Sus scrofa: one gene and its partners. The protein of the gene in region 3 purifies or fractionates together with the protein of the main gene of each other region. This does not show direct contact. Links are inferred from orthologs where the notes say so. Each region holds a gene or a part of one and is shown on either strand. Other genes may lie near its edges.

What was found.
Region 1: the proteins of SNCA (region 3) and PARK7 purify together in Homo sapiens (affinity purification with western blotting; 3 studies listed by BioGRID and IntAct, with this or other methods). This does not show direct contact. The link is inferred for Sus scrofa from reciprocal best matches to the Homo sapiens genes SNCA and PARK7.
Region 2: the proteins of SNCA (region 3) and SLC6A3 purify together in Homo sapiens (affinity purification with western blotting; 6 studies listed by BioGRID and IntAct, with this or other methods). This does not show direct contact. The link is inferred for Sus scrofa from reciprocal best matches to the Homo sapiens genes SNCA and SLC6A3.
Region 4: the proteins of SNCA (region 3) and CLU purify together in Homo sapiens (affinity purification with western blotting; 3 studies listed by BioGRID and IntAct, with this or other methods). This does not show direct contact. The link is inferred for Sus scrofa from reciprocal best matches to the Homo sapiens genes SNCA and CLU.

The regions. Positions count from the first base shown.
Region 1 is NC_010448.4:68,628,100-68,632,502, forward strand, and holds the start of PARK7 (protein deglycase DJ-1), read left to right. Parts: upstream 1-1,227; 5' UTR 1,228-1,237; intron 1,238-2,232; 5' UTR 2,233-2,260; coding exon 2,261-2,350; intron 2,351-3,810; exon of another isoform or gene 3,811-3,882; intron 3,883-4,388; coding exon 4,389-4,403. UniProt on the Homo sapiens protein: Multifunctional protein with controversial molecular function which plays an important role in cell protection against oxidative stress and cell death acting as oxidative stress sensor and redox-sensitive chaperone and protease.
Region 2 is NC_010458.4:79,184,668-79,189,289, reverse strand, and holds the start of SLC6A3 (sodium-dependent dopamine transporter), read right to left. Parts: upstream 3,177-4,622; 5' UTR 3,089-3,176; intron 1,371-3,088; 5' UTR 1,327-1,370; coding exon 1,041-1,326; intron 1-1,040. UniProt on the Homo sapiens protein: Mediates sodium- and chloride-dependent transport of dopamine. Also mediates sodium- and chloride-dependent transport of norepinephrine (also known as noradrenaline). Regulator of light-dependent retinal hyaloid vessel regression, downstream of OPN5 signaling.
Region 3 is NC_010450.4:129,246,106-129,250,619, reverse strand, and holds the start of SNCA (alpha-synuclein), read right to left. Parts: upstream 2,897-4,514; 5' UTR 2,819-2,896; exon of another isoform or gene 2,695-2,818; intron 2,062-2,694; exon of another isoform or gene 1,334-2,061; intron 1,217-1,333; exon of another isoform or gene 1,195-1,216; intron 846-1,194; exon of another isoform or gene 522-845; intron 445-521; exon of another isoform or gene 352-444; intron 213-351; 5' UTR 188-212; coding exon 67-187; intron 1-66. UniProt on the Homo sapiens protein: Neuronal protein that plays several roles in synaptic activity such as regulation of synaptic vesicle trafficking and subsequent neurotransmitter release.
Region 4 is NC_010456.5:11,345,817-11,350,462, reverse strand, and holds the start of CLU (clusterin precursor), read left to right. Parts: upstream 1-1,470; 5' UTR 1,471-1,485; coding exon 1,486-1,582; intron 1,583-2,617; coding exon of another isoform or gene 2,618-2,741; intron 2,742-3,114; coding exon 3,115-3,263; intron 3,264-4,646.

The sequences.
Region 1 (4,403 bases), on a different chromosome or scaffold from region 3:
GTTTGGCTTTTTAGGGCCGCACCCGCTGCATATGGAAGTTCCCAGGCTAGGGGAGGAATGGGAGCTACAGCTGCCTGCCACAGCCACAGCCACGCCAGATCCAAGCTGCACCTGCGACCTACATCACAGCTCACCGCCATGCCAGATACTTAACACCCCTGAGCGAGTCAGGGATAGAACCCATATTTTCATGAATACTAATTGGGTTCCTCAACGCTGAGCTACAAGGGGAACTCCAGGAATAAGGTATTTTTAAAATATGGTATGTACTTTTTAAAACATGCTATTGCCCACTTAATAGACTATAGTGTAACTTTATGTGCACTAGAAAACCAAAAAAAGTCCTGTCTTCCTTTATTGCATAGCTGCTTTATAGCGGTTGTCTGGGACCCATGTGTTATCTCCCAGGTACACCTGGAGATAGGTCTGAATTATGTGCTCAGCGGTCACACTAATCCTGTGGATGCAGAAGCAGCATTGGAATACTTAAAAAAAAAATTGTTTTTTGAGAAACTAATACACGTGAAATTATCCATCCTAACCCAATTAGTCACGGGAACAGGTGATGAAGCTTGGGAAGACTTTGAAGAATCCTAATAGTGCGGAGGAGAATCCTAATAGTTCGAGAAGGAGCTCCAGGAAATAGGAACAATGCAAAGGGAGACCCAGGTCCACACAGGCGACGTAAAGAAACAATTCTGTTTTGCTAAATTGTGTGTTTAAAGAAAGCCGCCACGGCTCTCTAGACCGCACAACACGTCCACGCTGAGGCACAAAGCGGGTTCATTTCAGGGTGCGCCCGGGAGCACTGTAGGGGTACAACAGGCAGGCGAACCCCAAGGTTCTCCAAGCTGGGTTCGGCCGGATGTGACGGAACGCGAGGCCCGCGCCCTATCTCTACGCAGTGCGGGGCTGAGGATGCGGGGCCGAGGATGCGGGGCCGAGGATGCCGGCCGGGCGGCGTGCGCCTGCGCAGTGCGGGGCCGAGGATGTCGGCCGGCGGCGTGCGCCTGCGCGGTGCGGGGCGAGGATGCCGGCCGGCGGCGTGCGCCTGCGCGGTGCGGGGCGATGGCAAGCCGGACGGCGTGCGCCTGCGCGGTGCGGGACTGAGGCCAGAGCCTGGGGGCACGCGTGCGTACTCGGGTAGATTCCCGTTTAGTCCGGTTCTGGCCCAGTTGTCCTCGCAGGGACCAGAACGGGCCGAAGCGCTGCGTCTGCGGGAAGAAGCGAGGTTCAGGTCGGGGCCTTGGGGAGCGCGGCGCGTGCGCAGGCCGTGGCTCTGGGGGCGGCGAGGGGGTGCTGAGCCCCCGCTGGAGGGTGGCGGGGCCGCGGAAGGGAGCGCCCCAGAGGGTCCGCAAGGCTCAGGGCCTTGGGGAGCACGAATGGAATCAGGCGGCCTCCCGGGGTGAGCGGATGACGCCTTCGGCCGCCGGCGTGGTACCAGCTCTACGGCTGCGAAAATTTGCGTGCATACCGTCCCACCCGCTTGGGGCTAGTTAATCTTGTGTTTGCTGACGTCATTTTATTATAATCCGTTTTGCACGGAAAACAAACTCTAGAAAAAGAGTAGGCTATAAGCTGTTCAGACCCTAGCTTAGCAGCTCTCCTGTGTAAGAGAGCTAAGTGCAAAGAGAGACAGTCTAGCAGGATTGGGTTTAACGAGGGGGATTCCCATCTTAATCTGTCATTTAAGAAAAAAAAGTGTTCAAATATTTAACACTGTTAACCCCCACCCCGCCCCAGAATTTTCAGTGCAGTTATTGGAACTAAAAAAAAAAAAAAAAAAATTCCTCCAAAAATTTCAGGGGCTAATAGTTAAAACCTGTGTATTTCGTTTTTTACCCGTGAAAGTTCAGTCCCGTCCTTGTGAACTAGTGCTTGAAAAAGGAGGCGTTTTATCTCCCCCGCATTGTGTGAAATGCAAGACCTAGGAACTTGGGTCTTGGAAAACCTCATCTGTGATATGTTATTGGAAATTGGATTTAAAAAAAAACAAAATCTAAGCAATAATGACACGTGGTGGCAACCTTACTGTGTTTTCACCTCAAAGAGCAGCAGCTGAAATTCTTTGGGAACCCTAAAGTGCTTCTTCCTATTCATTTGTGCTTGTCTATCAAAACCTTTCTGTAGGAGCACTTAGTTACTCTGCTTAAAAAAGTTTCTAAATTGAAAGTTTTTGGCTCTTAGAGGGTGAAAGTTTTTCCGAAATCTTTTTTTTTTCTTTCTTTCCAGTTAAGTCTTCAGAAAATACAACATAAGAATGGCTTCTAAAAGGGCTCTGGTCATCCTGGCTAAAGGAGCAGAGGAGATGGAGACGGTTATTCCTGTAGATGTCATGAGACGAGCTGGAGTAAGTCCTCCAAAGTTTTCTAGCCCTCCTCCCTTTTAAAACATTTTTTTTTTTTAAATTGATTTTTGTCATTTTGAATGGAGTAATGTTCGGTGTACTTTATGAAATATTTTAAAAGTACACGACCGTACAGAGACTACATAGAACCAATTACCTGTTTATACACTTTTCCACGTTTAGTACTTGTTAACATCCCATATTTCTTACAGACCTGTTTTTTTGTTTTGTTTCTTTTTTTTTTTTTTTTTTGTCTTGTTAGGGCCACACCTGAAGCATAAGGAGGTTTCTAGGCAAGGGGTTGAATCTGAGCTGTAGCCGCTGGCCTGTGCCACAGCAATGCCAGATCTGAGCCGCATCTGTGACCTATACCACAGCTCACAGCAATGCTGGATCCTTAATCCACCAGGTGAGGCCGGGGATCAAACCTGCATCCTCATGGATCCTAGTCAGATTCATTTCTGCTGAGCCACGACAGGAACCCCCCTGTTTCTTTTTTTTTTTAAATTTTATTTAATTGAAGTGTAGTTGATTTACAGTGTCGTGTTGGTTTCTGACGTACAGCAGAGTGATTCGTATGTGTATACACACACACACACGTTCTGTTTTGTATTTTCTTTTTCATTATGGTTTATTATGGGAAAGTGAATATGGTTCACTGTGGTGTACAGTAGGACTTTGTTGTTTATCCATTGTATGTGTAGTAGTTTGCATCTGCTGAGCACAGACTCCCAATATGCCCCTCCCCTTGCCCCTCCCTTCTGGGAACGCAAGTCTCTTCTCCAGGTCACACCTGTTTCTTGAAGAACAAACGTGTTTTAAAGGAATAAAGCATCCTAAAGCCCTGTTTGTAAATTTCCCTAATCCTATTCCCCTTCTGGGCCTGGAGATCAAGACTCTTCTCACACTAAGGTGTATCCATCCTGTGCATGTCTTTCAAGTAGCATTAGGCTCCAGCTCTCATTTTGTCTGTATTATAAACCTGTATCATAACATTGAATACTTACATAGCTTGTACTGCATACTGGGTGTCATTCTGAGCACTTGCATTCTCTTAAAATGTTACAACAACTCTGAGTCGTAACTCTGCTGTTGCAAGTTACACCAAGGGCAATAATAAAAAGTTATTGCCATCCTCCTTTTACAGTTAAAGAAATGGAGGCACAGAGACATTATTCCATCCATCCATCAGTCAGTGAAATATTTAAAGTGCTCATGCTGTACTAAAGATACCGATCTAGTCTGCTTAATTTAAAATTGCTGCTCAGTATCGCACCACAGGAAGATGCCTGCACTGTCCTTTCTTCTGTTACATCGCTTCACAGGATTGTCACGCTCTGGGACAGGATTCCTTGTTCGGAGTGTGGAAGTTCTCTAGACTCTGAGCCTAAAAGGACGTGCTGGTCAGTTGGTCGATGTTATTGGATTCTGTCAAACCATCCAGAATACTAGCATGTGGGAGTTCCCTGGTGGTCTAATGGTTAGGACTCGGCACTTTCACTGCTGCAGCCTAGGTTCGATCCCTGGTCTGGGAATTCAGATCCCACATCGAGCCGCTGCTCACCACCGCCAAAAACAAAACAACAAAACAGACTAAAGTGCTGATACCTGGGCCCACAAGCCTTGAGGAAAATTCCCATTTTTCTCAGTATTTTCTACTTTATACATTTTTGCAAGGTAGGGTAGTATTTTGTTGTTTTAGCTCACGTCTCTACCTTACAAAAATCCCGTGAGGTTTAAATGGCAACAGCACCTTGGCAGGTGGATTGTGGATAGAATGATCATATTGATTGATCACCCAAACCAGACCCCTTGGTGGGAGGAAGGACATGAGGCAGACAGAGTGCTGGGACAGCATCACAGGCAACGGGGACAGACCTAGAGATGAGCGATAGTTAAGCAGCACATGAGCCTAAAGTCAGCATGGCTTTGTTGCAGTATTTCCTGCCAAGTTTTTTTAAGACACATGGCAGCTGTGAAAATGTTACTCTAAATTTATGTTTCAGTGTTATGAAATATCACGATGACGTCTTTCTCTTAGATTAAGGTCACCGTT
Region 2 (4,622 bases), on a different chromosome or scaffold from region 3:
TGCCTCCACACCTGGCCCCACATCACCAGGGCCTGGACGTGTCCTGCCGTGGGTCCCGCTCCTCCCCACCTGCAGAGGCAGCCCCAGAGCAGAGCCCATGAGGCCGCTGCCCGCATCGCGGCTCTGTTCCTGGCACTGCCGGCAGGTCCTGCCCTCCGTCCCCTCTTCTCTTGAGTCCTTCGGGGTCTGACCCTACCTGGGCCTCTGCATTTGAGCTGTCTCTCTGCTGGTGGGCGCTGCCCTGGGGCTGGGGTTCCCCCCCACCCCGGCACCCAGTTCCTCTCAAAGCCACACTGCACTCTGAGCACGAAGTCCAGGGCCCCTGGGCTCAGCCTCCTGAGACCCTCCTGAGGTCACACTGCCTCAAATGGGGGGCTCTCTTTCTGGGAGGGGTGCAGGGACACCCACAGAGCTGCCTGTCTTGGGGCAACTTCTGTACCCACTTAGGCCTCAAAGGGGGCCAGGGAATCTGCCCACCGGGGGCTCTGGAAGCCCCTCAGGGACTGACCCCCGGCCGCATTGAGGCCTCTCACAGGAACGAGCACCAGCCTAATGTCTCAGCCTGAATTTCTGAGCAGCCCTGGCCTGTTTCCTAGTTTTCTACCTGGAGGCCAGATCTGGCAATTCCAGGCCCGGCCGTGCAGGGGTGAGGTGGGGAGGGGAGGAGACGGGCCTGTCCCTGGGACAACTTCGGCTCCTCCAAGTTCAAGGGCCTCTGCACACGTGTCAGCTGGTTAAGTCGGCCAAAGTGAAACCACCTTCGGAACCAGCAGGCAGGGCCGTGGCCCCTCCAGCTCCAAACCCTGGCTTCTGCTTTCTGGGCTCAGCTGGGGAGGCGGTCAGGGGATGGGGCGGCTCTGAGCACCATGTCTGTCCCGGGAGGCTGTGCCGTGCGATGGCTCCACTCCCCAGAGCCCTGCCCCAGCACCCCCTGGCCCTGGCCACGGTGGGAGGGTGAGGAGGGTGGCCCTCACTCCCCAGAGCCCTGCCCCTGGCCCTGGCCCCTGGCAGGAGGGCGTGGGGTGGGGGACAGCACTCACCCCCACCATTTTTGTAGCACAGGTAAGGAAACCGCCAGACGTTGGCCAGGTCCACGGCGAAGCCAATCACCGAGAGGAGGAAGTCGGCCTTCTTGCTCCAGGTCTCCCGATCTGGGGCCTCGGCGCAGCTCTGCGGGGGGCTGAGGAGGGTGGAGTTCGTGAGCTGCACCCCATTTTGCTCCTTGACCAGGACCAGCTCCACCGCCTTGGGGCCCGTGGCGTTGGCCTCCTTGGCTGGCGCCACCGCGGAAGACACCAGGGCCACGGAGCACCTGCTGTGCCTCATGGCATCCGGGGAGCAGGAGCCCCGAGCAGATCTTCCCTCTGGGTCTTCAGCCGGCATGAAAAAGAAGCACACACAGGAGAGCAAGGGTTGAGCAGCCAGAACAACAGCGTGGCGGGGGCACGAGCAGATCGAGGCGCTTCCGGCCGTTTTCCTGGGGCAGAATGAACACATTCCAGGCCCCCTGGATGGAGGACCCAGCCAGGGCGAGGGCAGGAGGCAGGCGGGGGGCGGGGCCTCAGGACAGACCTCCGCTCTGCCCCCCACCCCCGGGTCCCCTCTCCCCTCCTGTCAAAGGATGGTGCTGTGTCATCTCCCATTCGCTTTGAGTTATAGTGCAAGACGTCCCCTGCAGCCTCCCCCACTCCGGGGAGTCAGTGGACCATCTTCAGATAGTGTCCCACCTAAGTCTTCACGACAGCGCACACACGTAGTTTCTACTCAGTGGCCAAAGTAAAGAGCACAACTTAAAACCCAAGGCAGCCACAGGAATTCCGAGTTTAAGATGACGCGTCTCCTCCGAGGAATGGCTGCAGCCACACCCACCTGTGGCCGCACCTGGAAGGGCCCGGCAGGGGCCGAACCTGCGGCAGGATCTCCTGGGTGTGCGGGACTGGCTCCTGAGGCAGCAGCTTTTACCAGCAGCTTTTTCCCAGTTAGCTCGTGGGACTGGGAAACACAACCAAGGAGAACAGAGCAAACCTGTCACAGCAAGAGCAAGGCGGGCGCCCGAGGCCAGGGGCAGCGTCCAACATGCCTCCTGGCATTTGGACGTTTCAGCGGCACCCGCGAGTGTGCTCATGCACAGGCACACACGCACAAACACACGCACACCCCCCCGGAAGCAGAAGGTGGCAGGACGGCAGCAGGAATGGGGACGTTTTCCTCCGCATCCACGTTTGAACAGAAACGCCCATCAGTCATTTACGCAGCTCGTCTCAGTGACAGACCCTCAGCACCTTCCTGAGACGAACGAAACCCAGGGCAAGGGCTTTCGTGGGAGGGGCACGAGGGCCTGGCCTGGCCGGGGTCCCGTGGGGGGCGCTGGGCTGGTACAGGCGGCAGGTCCCAGCCTTTTTGCTCTGACAGCAGCACTTGCAGGTGCATCGGGGCCCACCTGCCAGGGAAAACGAGGCTGGGCATTTGAGGGGAGCCCACCGCGTTCCTGAGGCCCCGACCTCAGAGGCCAGGTTTGGGTACAGAAAGCGAACCAGGCACTTGGCAAGCAGAGCTCTGGTCTGTGCTTGCACTCGGCCTGGGCCCTCAGAGCCCCACAACCCCGCGCCCCTCCCCCATCTGGAAAAGCCAAGGCCAAGCTGTGAGGAGAAGCGCTGGCTGAGAAGACCACCCCTTGGGACAGGGGAGCCCTGGCTCGCGTCTGCCTCACCCCTCCCAGGTCTGGTTCAACGGGAAGGAATCAGTCACAAACAGCCAAGGGCCGGGGGCCAGCGCTGCAGGGAAGCTGGGGTTGTGGGCGGCCCCCTGCCCGAATCACAGAGCCCGGGGTGGAGAACATCGCCCGCGCCCTCTAGCGCACGCACCCCTCGGGCACTGTTCGCCTTTAGACCGCCCATGGCATGGCCGCAGTGCGCTGTGCACCCCAGCCGTGGGTGACTTCTGGAAAGACCGCTGCCTTCAGGACACGGAGGCCCCCGCCCCGATGGTGCCCGCCGGCCCTTTGCAGCCGCGGGGTCCGAGAAAGGAGCGGAGGATCCCCAGGGGGACGTCTGGTGGGGAGGGTGGCCCACGGGTGGCCCGGCCTCACCTGCGCGCCCGGCCTCGGCTCCGTAGGTGGTCCCACTGGTCCTGCTGCCAAGTGTCCGCGAAAGCTCCGCTCCGGTCTCGCTGCGCTCTGGGCTCTTATCCTGCCGCCCTGCCGGCCCCGCTGGCCAACCGGGGCGCCCGCCCTCCCTGGCTCCGCCTCTGTACCGCCCCAGGTGGGCGGAGGACGAGCCTGGCCACGCCCCTGCACCCCGCCCTCGGGACCCGACCGCTGGGTCTCAGCGAGGGCGCCAGTCTGCTGTCCGCAGCAGCGCGCTCTGCCCCAGGCCTTGCACGTCTGGGGCCTGGGGCGCCTGGGAGAGGGGACACCGCCGGGTCCCAGGCCTCTTAGGACGGAGACAGGTGGCTTTCTGTCTTCCTCTCACCCTAAACTGCAGCCCCTGTGGCTGCGGCACGCACCAGCATCTGCCTTGGGGGGCTCCCACAGCCCAGCCTCCGCTGAGCCCCAGTGGAGCCCGGCGGAGCAGTCGGTGGTGGGGAGGGAGCTGGGCGGGACGCGCGGGCACAGCACGGGGTCCAGGGCGCCGAGCTGGTCTTGCCTATGCTTCTCTTCCCCCTGCGTCTGCCCAGACCCTTCTACCCAGATGTCCGTTGTCTTCTCCCCCTGCGGCCACCCCTCCCGAGGTCCCGTGCCCTGAGGACACCCTGGACCGGCCCGATCCCACTGGGAGCTGGGGCGGAGCGGGCGGGGATCCTACACTGGGTCCTGCCCCCGTCCCTAGCGCCTGGTGACCCCTGCCCGCCCCTGACGAGCAGACTCACGCCGCGCCTGGGGTCTCAGCCTTCTCTGCTCTGGCCCGCGTACTGCCTCAGGGCCGCGAGGTACTTGATTGCCGCCTGGATCCGGGCTGCCGAGACGCGGGTCCTTCTGCGTCCCTGGGAGCCGCTCCCGCGCAGGAGCGCAGGAGCCGATCGAGTCCGCAAGGAGCGGAGCCTCCGTGCACGTTGCCCTTATCGAGCGCAAGGGGTCGAATCTCTCTCGCATTGGAAAACGATTTCCCCGACGGACCGGCTGGAAAGCTACAGCGGTCGATACAGCTCCAGCCGAGATGCCCCAGCAGGGCTGTTCACTCACCATCCGGAGGAATGGAGTCCCCAGGCCACCGGGCAGGCCCAGGACCTGCGGTGCTGGATGGCATCAAGGTAGGCGGCCACCCTGGCTCTGCACCTTGCAGGCCCCGTTGACCCAAGCCCAGCTGCTTGTCCCCCGCCCATCTAGGGTAAGCTCCACACAGGCCGACTCTGCACCCTATCTGGGCCACCTGTCCCTGCTCTGCAGAGTCACCCAAGCCGTGGCCCTCTGTTGGGCGCGCAGAGCGCCCATCAGCCCCGCCTCACCCTGGAGACCATGCCCCACTGCCTCCCACAGCCTCCTGGTCAGGGGCTGGTGCCCTCAACAGGGCTGTGCCGGCTCTCAACTGGACTGAGGCCTGACAGCAGGGCCCGGGACCCAGGCCCCTCTGGCTGCCACAGCAAAGTGCCCGGGGTGGGCAGCTGCTGGGCCTGCACATGAGGGT
Region 3 (4,514 bases):
AGGCATCAATCACCCTAACCCACCAGTCATAAATAAATTTCAAATTGACATCTAGGGCTTACCTACCTACATAGAGCACACCCTCTTTTGTCTTTCCCGCTGCTTCTGCCACACCCTGTTTGGTTTTTTCAGCAGCAGCCACGACTCCCTCCTTGGCTTTTGAAAGTCCTTTCATGAATACATCCATGGCTAATGAATTCCTTTACACCACACTGGAGAACACAAAATACACTTTGAGAACTTTGGGGTAAAACAAAACGAAATTAGAACCACCCAAGGTAAAAATCACTGAAAGATCAGTAGACTCCCCCGCCCCCCCCCAAAAAAAATGCAGGACTCTTGTAGGTGTACCTCTGTTTCAACCACTGGACAAAGCAGCCTTTTTTTAGCTTTTGCATTAAAAATTTAGCATCTCCCATCCATCTTGTTTGGTGGAAGTCTAGCCTCCTAAACATGGATTGGGATGAATCATCTGAGTTGTTCTCACCGCATTCCAAGTGGAGTTACATGAAAGGACTTACCCCCTCCCCCCTTTCAATTTCCCAGGGTCCAAACGATGAAGGTGTTAAGTTAGAAGTGCGTTTAGAAGACAGATCACAGGAAACGGAAAAAGGAGCTGGAGGAGGGGGGGTCAGAGATACTCAAAATAAATCCCCCAAACAGCTAACAGGTTGATCAGGAAGAGGGGTGGGAAGAGAACCACTCACTCTGGGTGTGGCTGAACCCCAGGCCAACTGCAAGCCCACCTGCAGTGGCTCTCACCCACTGGACGCTGTACCCCACCTTCAGCTGTCTACCCTGAGCAGGCAAGCAGGAGCGTTCACACCTGCAGGCAGTCTCCGGATGCGCGCCAGCTGCCAGAGGTGGAGTTAGCCCGCTGAACCCGCCACCCACCCGGCGCCCAGCACCTGTTAACCCCTTCCCACCTGTTGACTTGCTCTCTCTGCGCTTCCATTTAAAGGCTTGCCCAATACAGCTTGCTTACTTTACAGAGAGAACAGAGAGGGTGGGCTGGGGGATTTAAGGAAAGTAAGAAATAAAAGTTGAATAGTTATAATCCTTCGAGCATCCTCGACTTTCCCAAAGGAAAAGCGTATCCCGGAGAATCCAGACCGCTCAGCCTTTGAGGACGAGAAGAGAGGTAAGCCGAGTCAATTTACTTTCCTCAAGCTCACCAAAGGGGTCAGTGCCCACCTCTAAGAGAGACTCGACTATGGCAGGTCCTCACCGCAGCACTAACCCCCCCCCCCCCCCAGGCGCCGCAATGACTCTTCTCCCACCAGGTTTTCTCCAAGATTTCCCAAGCTGCCCACTTAGATTCACAGGTACTTACCTGATTCCCTTGGCTCCTGAGAACTCCGATCCTCCCCGCACCCACTTAAAAAATTTTAAAAACAATTCCTAAATATTATTTAAATGGGAGGGAGGAGGATAGGAGCGCACAGGAAGGGTGGAGGCGGCACCAGGAGAGGGATGGCCCTCAGCGGAGGCGGCTGTCGGCACAACCCTGGGGGGAGAGGCTGGGGGCGTGGGAGGGAACCCGCGAACCTGTCGTCGAATCGCCACTCCCCGTCCCCCGCACGAGAGGATTCCAGGCAGAAGAAGGGAGGAAGGGAAGGCGGCGAAAGAGCGCCAAGGCTGCCAAAGGCAAGGCGCGGTCCCCGGGTCTGCTCCAAAGCCAGCACACACCTCACCCCCACGTCGCTGCGCTCTGTCTCTCGCCCCCTCTCCTGGGTCCCCTTCTAGTGGTCTCGGTCCTTCTCCTCGTCTTCCTCCTCCTTCTCCTCCGCTCCCCGCCCCCGCAGCGGATTTGTCAGCGCCGCTCCCCGCCCCGCTCCCTGCGCGCGTTGCTTTCCCCGCCGCGTGCACTTCACTCCTCTTCTCGGATGGGGGTGGTGGGAGGCTGTACCTCCAACGCCAGCCGCCCGCCTGGGCTTGGGAGACTGGAAGGTGGGGTGTTGGGCGGTTCACCTCAAGTTCAGGGGCGCCCGGGCTCTGGCGGCGATCCGGAGCTCTGAGGCTTGGGCTGATGTCTGATGTCTGTTTCTCTCTCCCCATCCCCCCTCCTTCCCAGTCTCCGCCTTTCCCCCCGGTTTTTCCTGCGGACCCCCACGTCATGAGCCAGCCCGGGGAAGTGGGGTCTGAGGGCTCTACCACCAAAATAGCGCCAGTCTTTCGGGGAGCTGCTAAAGGAGACAGGTAGCTTCGGAAGGTACCCGCATCAGGACCAAGCGCAGGTTTCCCTCGCATCACTGAAATTGGATGAAGGGTCCTTAGGACACAATGTTAACGAAGCTTTTGTTTAACTATTCTCCGGATTTAACGTTTGTTCTTAACCTCTCCTGAGCCCGAAGTGGTCCGGCAGGTGGAGAGGCGACTAGTAAGGATGAGTTACAGGTTGAGGAGGCAGGAGGAGGCTCGTCAAATCCTCTTCCCACCCCACTATCACCATTTTCTTTCCACCAATCAGCGGCTGCCAGACGCTGATTTTTCCCATCAGTGGATCAAGGAATAAATATTCCCCAGCCGTCGAAACCCAGCGGCTGTAAGGCGTTTTGTTCTCAGAATGGGATTTACTTTCCAGATTCCTGTTCCTGGATGGAAGAGATAAATCCAGAGTGACTGAGTCTCCTGAACCGTCATATCCAATTTCATGGGCCCCTTCTGAAAAGAGAGATTCCACATACCACTCACCTTTCCGACTACTGATTCACGTTGTCCTCGGGGCTGACAGGCTACCCCATCCCACACACAGACACACAGACATACACATGCACGAGCTTCAAGACAATTTTTGCATTGCTTGACACAGTTTCACCTTTCAGAGCTGGAGGGAAAACAGCTGTTCCTGGATCACACCGGAATGGAGAACCAAGCTCCTCCCCCTAACAGACTGCCTCTGCTTGCTTTGCCTGGAATAGGAGGATGCTTTTAGAACTGGAAGGGGAAAAAACAGGTCTTTGCAGATTTTTTTTTTTTTTTTTGCTTGTCTTGTGTTTATTTGTGTGTGTGTGGGGGGGAATTTCTCTGATCCTTGGACTCACATTCTGGAATGTGAGTAAAAAGTAATTTAAATCTACAAAAACAACAGTTTGAAACCCAAAGAGATGGGAAGCAAGTATATATATTGCTTAACCTACTCCTTGCACTGATGGTCGGCCCTTTTAAAAAGTAGGCTTTCTAAAAACGCTCCTATTTTGTTTCCTGGGGAACTTGGAAGGAAACTTGGAAGTTGGTTTGCTTTTTGGCTTTGAGAGCCAATACAAGTTATGTTCAGTTTTCTCTTGTAAAGGGAGAGGAACCAAGATGATCCCTCTCTTTTCAACTTTTTATTATGGGAAATGTTCAAACATACAAGAATGGAGAGAATAGGAATTCCTGTTGTGGCTCAGCAGTGACAAACCCAACTAGTATCCGTGGGGATGCGGGTTCCATCCCCAGCCTCACTTAATGGGTTCAGGATCCTGCATTGCCATGAGCTGCAGTGTGGGTCAGGGATAGGGCTGGGATCTGGTGTTGCTGTGGCTGTAGTAGTAGTATAGGCCAGTAGCTACAGGTCCAGCCACCCCTGGCCTGGGAACTTCCATATACTGCGGGTGCACCCCTAAAAAGCAAAACAAAAACAAAAATAGAATAAAGGACTCTCCATGGAATATCACCCAGCTTCCACTGTTTTCTTTCTTCTTTTTTTTTTTTTTTGTTGTTGTTGTTGTTGTTATTGTTGTTGTTGCTATTTCTTGGGCCGCTCCCGTGGCATATGGAGGTTCCCAGGCTAGGGGTTGAATCGGAGCTGTAGCCACCGGCCTACGCCAGAGCCACAGCAACGCGGGATCCGAGCCGCGTCTGCAACCTACACCACAGCTCACGGCAACGCAGGATCGTTAACCCACTGAGCAAGGGCAGGGACCGAACCTGCAACCTCATGGTTCCTAGTCGGATTCGTTAACCACTGCGCCACGACGGGAACTCCTTCCATTGTTTTCTAATGCAGTCAACCACGTGCATCTGCATTCTTGTCTATTCCCTATATTTATCACTACTCCTTCCCCCAATTTTTACTAAATCCCAAGAATTATATATGTCTTTTCATCTGTAAATATTTAACCCTGCATCCATAAAATATAAATCTTTTAAAATAAACAATACTATTTCAATGGTCTTTTCTCAATTTTAAGTAAGATTTATAAACAGCGATAGGCTCAGCTCTTGAGTGTTCCCTTAAAACAGTTTTGAAAAATACATGCTGGGAAAAGCATCTGAAAGGGAATGGAATGTGTGTACACGTAGAACTGAATCACTGTGCTGTACAGCAGAAAGTATCACCACTTTGTAAATCAACTCTACTTCAACAAAACTTCAGTAAAAACTCCAATAAAAAGAGAGAGGGGAAAAGACATACATTAGTGGAACCCACACCGTTAAAAATAAATACATGAAACATTTCATCACCCCAGAAAGTTTCCTTGTGCCCTTTTAAGTTGTATATATTCTAGAATTTCTTAAAAATAAAATTA
Region 4 (4,646 bases), on a different chromosome or scaffold from region 3:
GGGATTGGACAGGAGACTGGTTTCTTTCCCAGCTCGGAGCTCTATGGCTCCCGTGGTCCCAGTCCTGGTAGGAGATCCTACACTGACCACTGCTTTCCAGACTCCTCATGAAGGGCTCTTGCCTTTGGCTGCCCTGCCTCCCTTCCTCTCAGGACCCAATGCCCTGTCTTCTGGTATCAGAGGCTTATGTATGGATTTCTCAGAAATCATTGCCATCAGGGGCCTCCACACAACATCAGGGGTGTTTCTTGCTGGCTTTCTCTCTCTGGTGTGACAAAGGCTCTGTCCCTGCTCCAGGCGTTTCAGGCCTCAGTGAGCAGCTGGGGCAGAGCCGAGACACCTGAATTAGCGCCTGGCTCCACCACCCACTCACCATCTCTGGGGAAGGTGGTGACCCCGCCCTCTTCTCCCACGCTGCTTGAGAACCACAGCTCGGCTGCTTTGCTAATGATGTCTCAGGAGAGGTTTGCTTTATGAATATGCTCCCGAGGGTCCAGGGGGGCCTGCCAAGCTGAGAGCAGCTTCTGGATGTGCACCATCTCAGGAAGGAGAGACCCCCTTCCCGTTCTGTTCAGGGAAGTGGGCGAGTTCAGATTAGCGGTTCTGGGGAGGAGGTGCAGGGCACGGGGGTTCTGTTTTGCAACAGCTTCAGCTTCTGGGAAAGGGTCCATTGTGTAAGACCAGCTGGTCCAGAGCTCAGGGCAGCTGGCCGAGTGGTGGTGGGAGGACCTTGGCAGACACCCTGCTGTGGGCTTAGAATGTGCTAACCCAGAGGTCTGAGGTCCTCACTGCCTCAGACCCTGAAAAAGCAGTTTCAGGAGGTGTTGAGGCTTAGAGGCGGGCAGGGGGTAGGGGGGAGGAACTGCTGTGATTGATTGGTGATGTCTGCTGGGGCAGGATGGGTGATGCACACAGCAGCGGCCTGGACTGTCTGCACTCTGGACTGCAGTCCCCACTTTGGCAGGGGGAGGACGGGAGAGGCCAGATGAGTGACCCAAGAGAGGTGTTTTCAGAGTTTGTTTGATGTGAGCAGGTATCAGCAGATAGATGCCCTGCCTGGATGCAGACAGTATTGTGCCTTGCTCAGGCTTAGTCAGCTATTAAGGGTAAAGGGAGGAGAACGAGGAAAAGGGGGAGAAGGAGGAGGGGGACAGGGGGAGGGCAGCTTGGACCTGAGCCTGGTGGCTGTGACTCTGGAGTTCTTATATTAGGCTGCTGTCCTGTGGTTCCTGCCTCTATCTACTCCTTCCACTTGTCCGTGGCAAGTCTGAGCCTTTCTTGTCACTTCCCCAGATAAAGGGCAGTGGTGCCAGCTGAGGGGGTAGCCGAGGGCAAGGCCTCTGCTGGGCGCCTGGGAAGCCGAAGCCTCTGCAGGCAGCAGGCTAGAGCGGAAACCCCCCAGGCTGCCTGGCTGTTACCATGACAGTCCCTTGTTCTCTACAAACAGAGGCGTGCTAGAATTCCAGAACTGGAGAAGCAGGCGAGATGAAGACTCTGCTGCTCTTGGTGGGGCTGCTGCTGACCTGGGAGAATGGCCCCTGGGTGCTGGGGGACAAGGCCATCTCGGACAAAGAGCTCCAGGGTAAGTGAGCCTGTGCGCCTCCTCACATGCTCCCTCCCCGTCCTGGGTCCCAGGGTTAGAGAGCACCTTTCTCCCTCCTGTGCATCCCGTCGCACCTGCTCTGCCCCAGCCTTGCTGAGGCCTCCCTCGCCAGCCTGGGCTTTGCTGTCAGCTTGATTTCAAGGCAGTTTCAGGTTGTTCTCAAGCCCTTTCTGGCTGCTGCACCTCACTGGTCTGTTTCCCTCCGAGCCTGGCACCCACACCTCCTCCATGAAACCCCATGAAGCCTGGACCCTTGGCGCCTCTGTGGCCTGCCGTTTCTGAGTTGCCGGGGCACTTGTTCCCTGTATCCATCCCTTTCCACCTAGGAAACCAGTGCCCTGGATTCAGGAGAGGGGAACTCTCATTCCCTAAGAGGCTTGACATCCTTCAGAGCCCCGCTGGTGGTCCCCTCTTCTGCCAGACCTTTCCTGAAACCTAAATTCCCTCCTCCCCACTCTGTCCTAGCAGCTGACCACTGCAGGGCAGTAGTTAAAAACCCTGAGATCAGTTCTGGGTGGGTGTCTGGCTCCACCCTCCCCAGCTGTCTGATCTTGGGTGAGTGTCTTGATCTCTTTATCCTCATTGGTGCTGTGGGGTGAGGACAGATGGGCATGTTAAATAAAATGCATAAGAAGTGTTCAGCTTTGGAGTTCCTGTCATGGCTCAGTGGTAACGAATCCGACCAGTATGCATGAAGACGAGGGTTTGATCCCTGGCTTTGCTGTGTGTTAAGGATCTGGCATTGCCATGAGATGTGGTGTAAGCCACAGACACAGCTCAGATCTGGCATTGCTGTGGCTGTGGCATAGGCCGGCAGCTACAGCTCCAATTTGCCCCCTAGCCTGGGAACTTTCATATGCTGTGGGTGTGGCGCAAAAAAAAAAAAAAGAGAGAGAGAGAGAGAAGCGTTCAGCTCAGCTCCTGGCTCAAGATCAGAAACGTATTGGCTGTTATTTTCGGAAGTTCATTGACACTGTCTCATTGCATTTGTCACCCTGCTGTGTCTGATCACAGTCCCCTCGAGGAATGGTGTTGTTAATCCACAGTGCTTCCTGTCCCCGTCTCCTGACACCATGCATTGGAACAAAGAAGAACACATGCGTGCTTAAACTCAAGTCCAGAAAGACTTGTATCCAAAGTAATAATATTTACATTTTCATGCTTAAGCAGTTACCCTTGAAAATTTTCTTCGGCAGCCAATTAGGCTGCTTCTCCAGAGCCCTGGAGGTGGCCTGGGTTGTCTCTCCTCTGGGGTGTGTCTCTCTGATGGTTGGTGTTTCTGAGCAGGGTGGGGTGTAATGGATGCTCCTCGGTCCTGGGTCTGCAGTGAGCCCTGTGATGGAACTTGGGTTGGCAGAGGCTGGGCCCGAAGGCTGCCTGTCAGGGGCTCCTAGGCTTGGCAGCCCCTAGACCCACTGGCCTTTCCGACCCTTCCAGCTGGTTCCAGGCTTATATCCCCAGCACCATTCCTTCCTCTCGCCCCATCTACCTCCCTTGCGCTTTTCTTGCAGAAATGTCCACCGAGGGGAGTAAGTACGTTAATAAAGAAATTAAAAATGCCCTCAAGGAGGTGAAACAGATAAAGACCCTAATAGAACAATCAAATGAAGAGCGCAAATCACTGCTCAGCTCCCTGGAGGAAGCCAAGAAGAAGAAAGAGGTGAGGAAGAGCCAGGTGCCCCCCCCCCCCCCCCCGCCCTGACCCTCTGTGCAGGGGGGAGGGACTGGCTGTCGCTCCTCTGGATGGCCTGCCAGGTTGTCAGCCAGGTTGCCATGGCAACCCACAGTCCTTCCAGGCGGTGTCAGCTGATCCTGGGGCTGTGGTTAACAAACAGGGAAGGTTTATTTGCTTTTGAAAGCTTCAAGGGGTGAGATCTTGGATCTGGTTTTGTTACCAGCCTGGCCCAGGGCCTGCTGCCAAGATTCACTTCAGTAGATTTTGCTAGACCTTGATTATGACCAAACTCCAAGGCAGGCTTTGGGTAGGGTCTGTCACGGACATGGGTTAGGAGGGGGATGGCACCCCACCTTCAGGAAGCTTGTCTTGGAGGGGTACAGGGTATCTTTGGGGGTACAGTGGGCACACACTGCCCATGTCTTTCTAGAGTTCTGGACTACTTCATAAAGAGACACCCAGGTCCCTGGTGAACATACAAAACTAAAATTCTGCAATTCAATAAACAGCTTATTTTTTTAAAAAATCAATAGTCTCCTTAAGGGTATCCTCAAAGCCTACTCCCGTAGTCATACCTTCCCCCATGACAAAGAAGCTGTGATGGGGCCACCTGTCACCGTTGTGATCCCCAACACATAGAGTAAAAGCATTGTAAAGACTTGGAGAGGTTCTTCAGTAAAGAAACACATGGAACTTCATTTAACCCAAGTGTTTTTTTCCCAATCGAAGTGACCCAGGAATCCATTATTTTCCTCCCCAACTGTTTGTAGCAGAGCTCTCACTTTCTTTGAAGCTTAAGGCCCTTTCTTGGCATCAGTCTTCGTTCTCACGATACGCTAAGAATCCTTTTAGAGCCCATGTAGAAGCAGCCAGTCTTGCTCTTGAATTTTTACAGTTCTCCTTGAGGTTCAATGTTTGACCATCCATGTTCCATGACAAAGCACATCAAATTTGAAAAAAGACCCTATGACTTCTTAGTGGAAGAGCATGTGAACTGGAAAGAAAGTAAGAGGGCAGAATAGTTGCTGCCTGTGAATCAGCCCAGTAGGAGGTGTGTGCAGAGCTGAGGGCCGGGGACAAGGGACATGGGGCAGGGAACGATCTCACATACCCCAAAATCCTCCTGGTCAGATAGTCATAGTGTAGCTTTGCTTTGGCTGTGGATGGTCTACTTAATTCTTTGAAAACTAAGCTACTCATGTATCAAGATTTTCACCTAGAAAAGCAGGAGTAGAGCTCCTATTGTGGTGCAGTGGTTAACGAATCCAACTAGTAACCATGAGGTTGCAAGTTGGATCCCTGACCTCGCTCATTGGGTTAAGGATCCGGTGTTGCCATGAGCTGTGGTGTAGGTCGAAGATTCGGCTC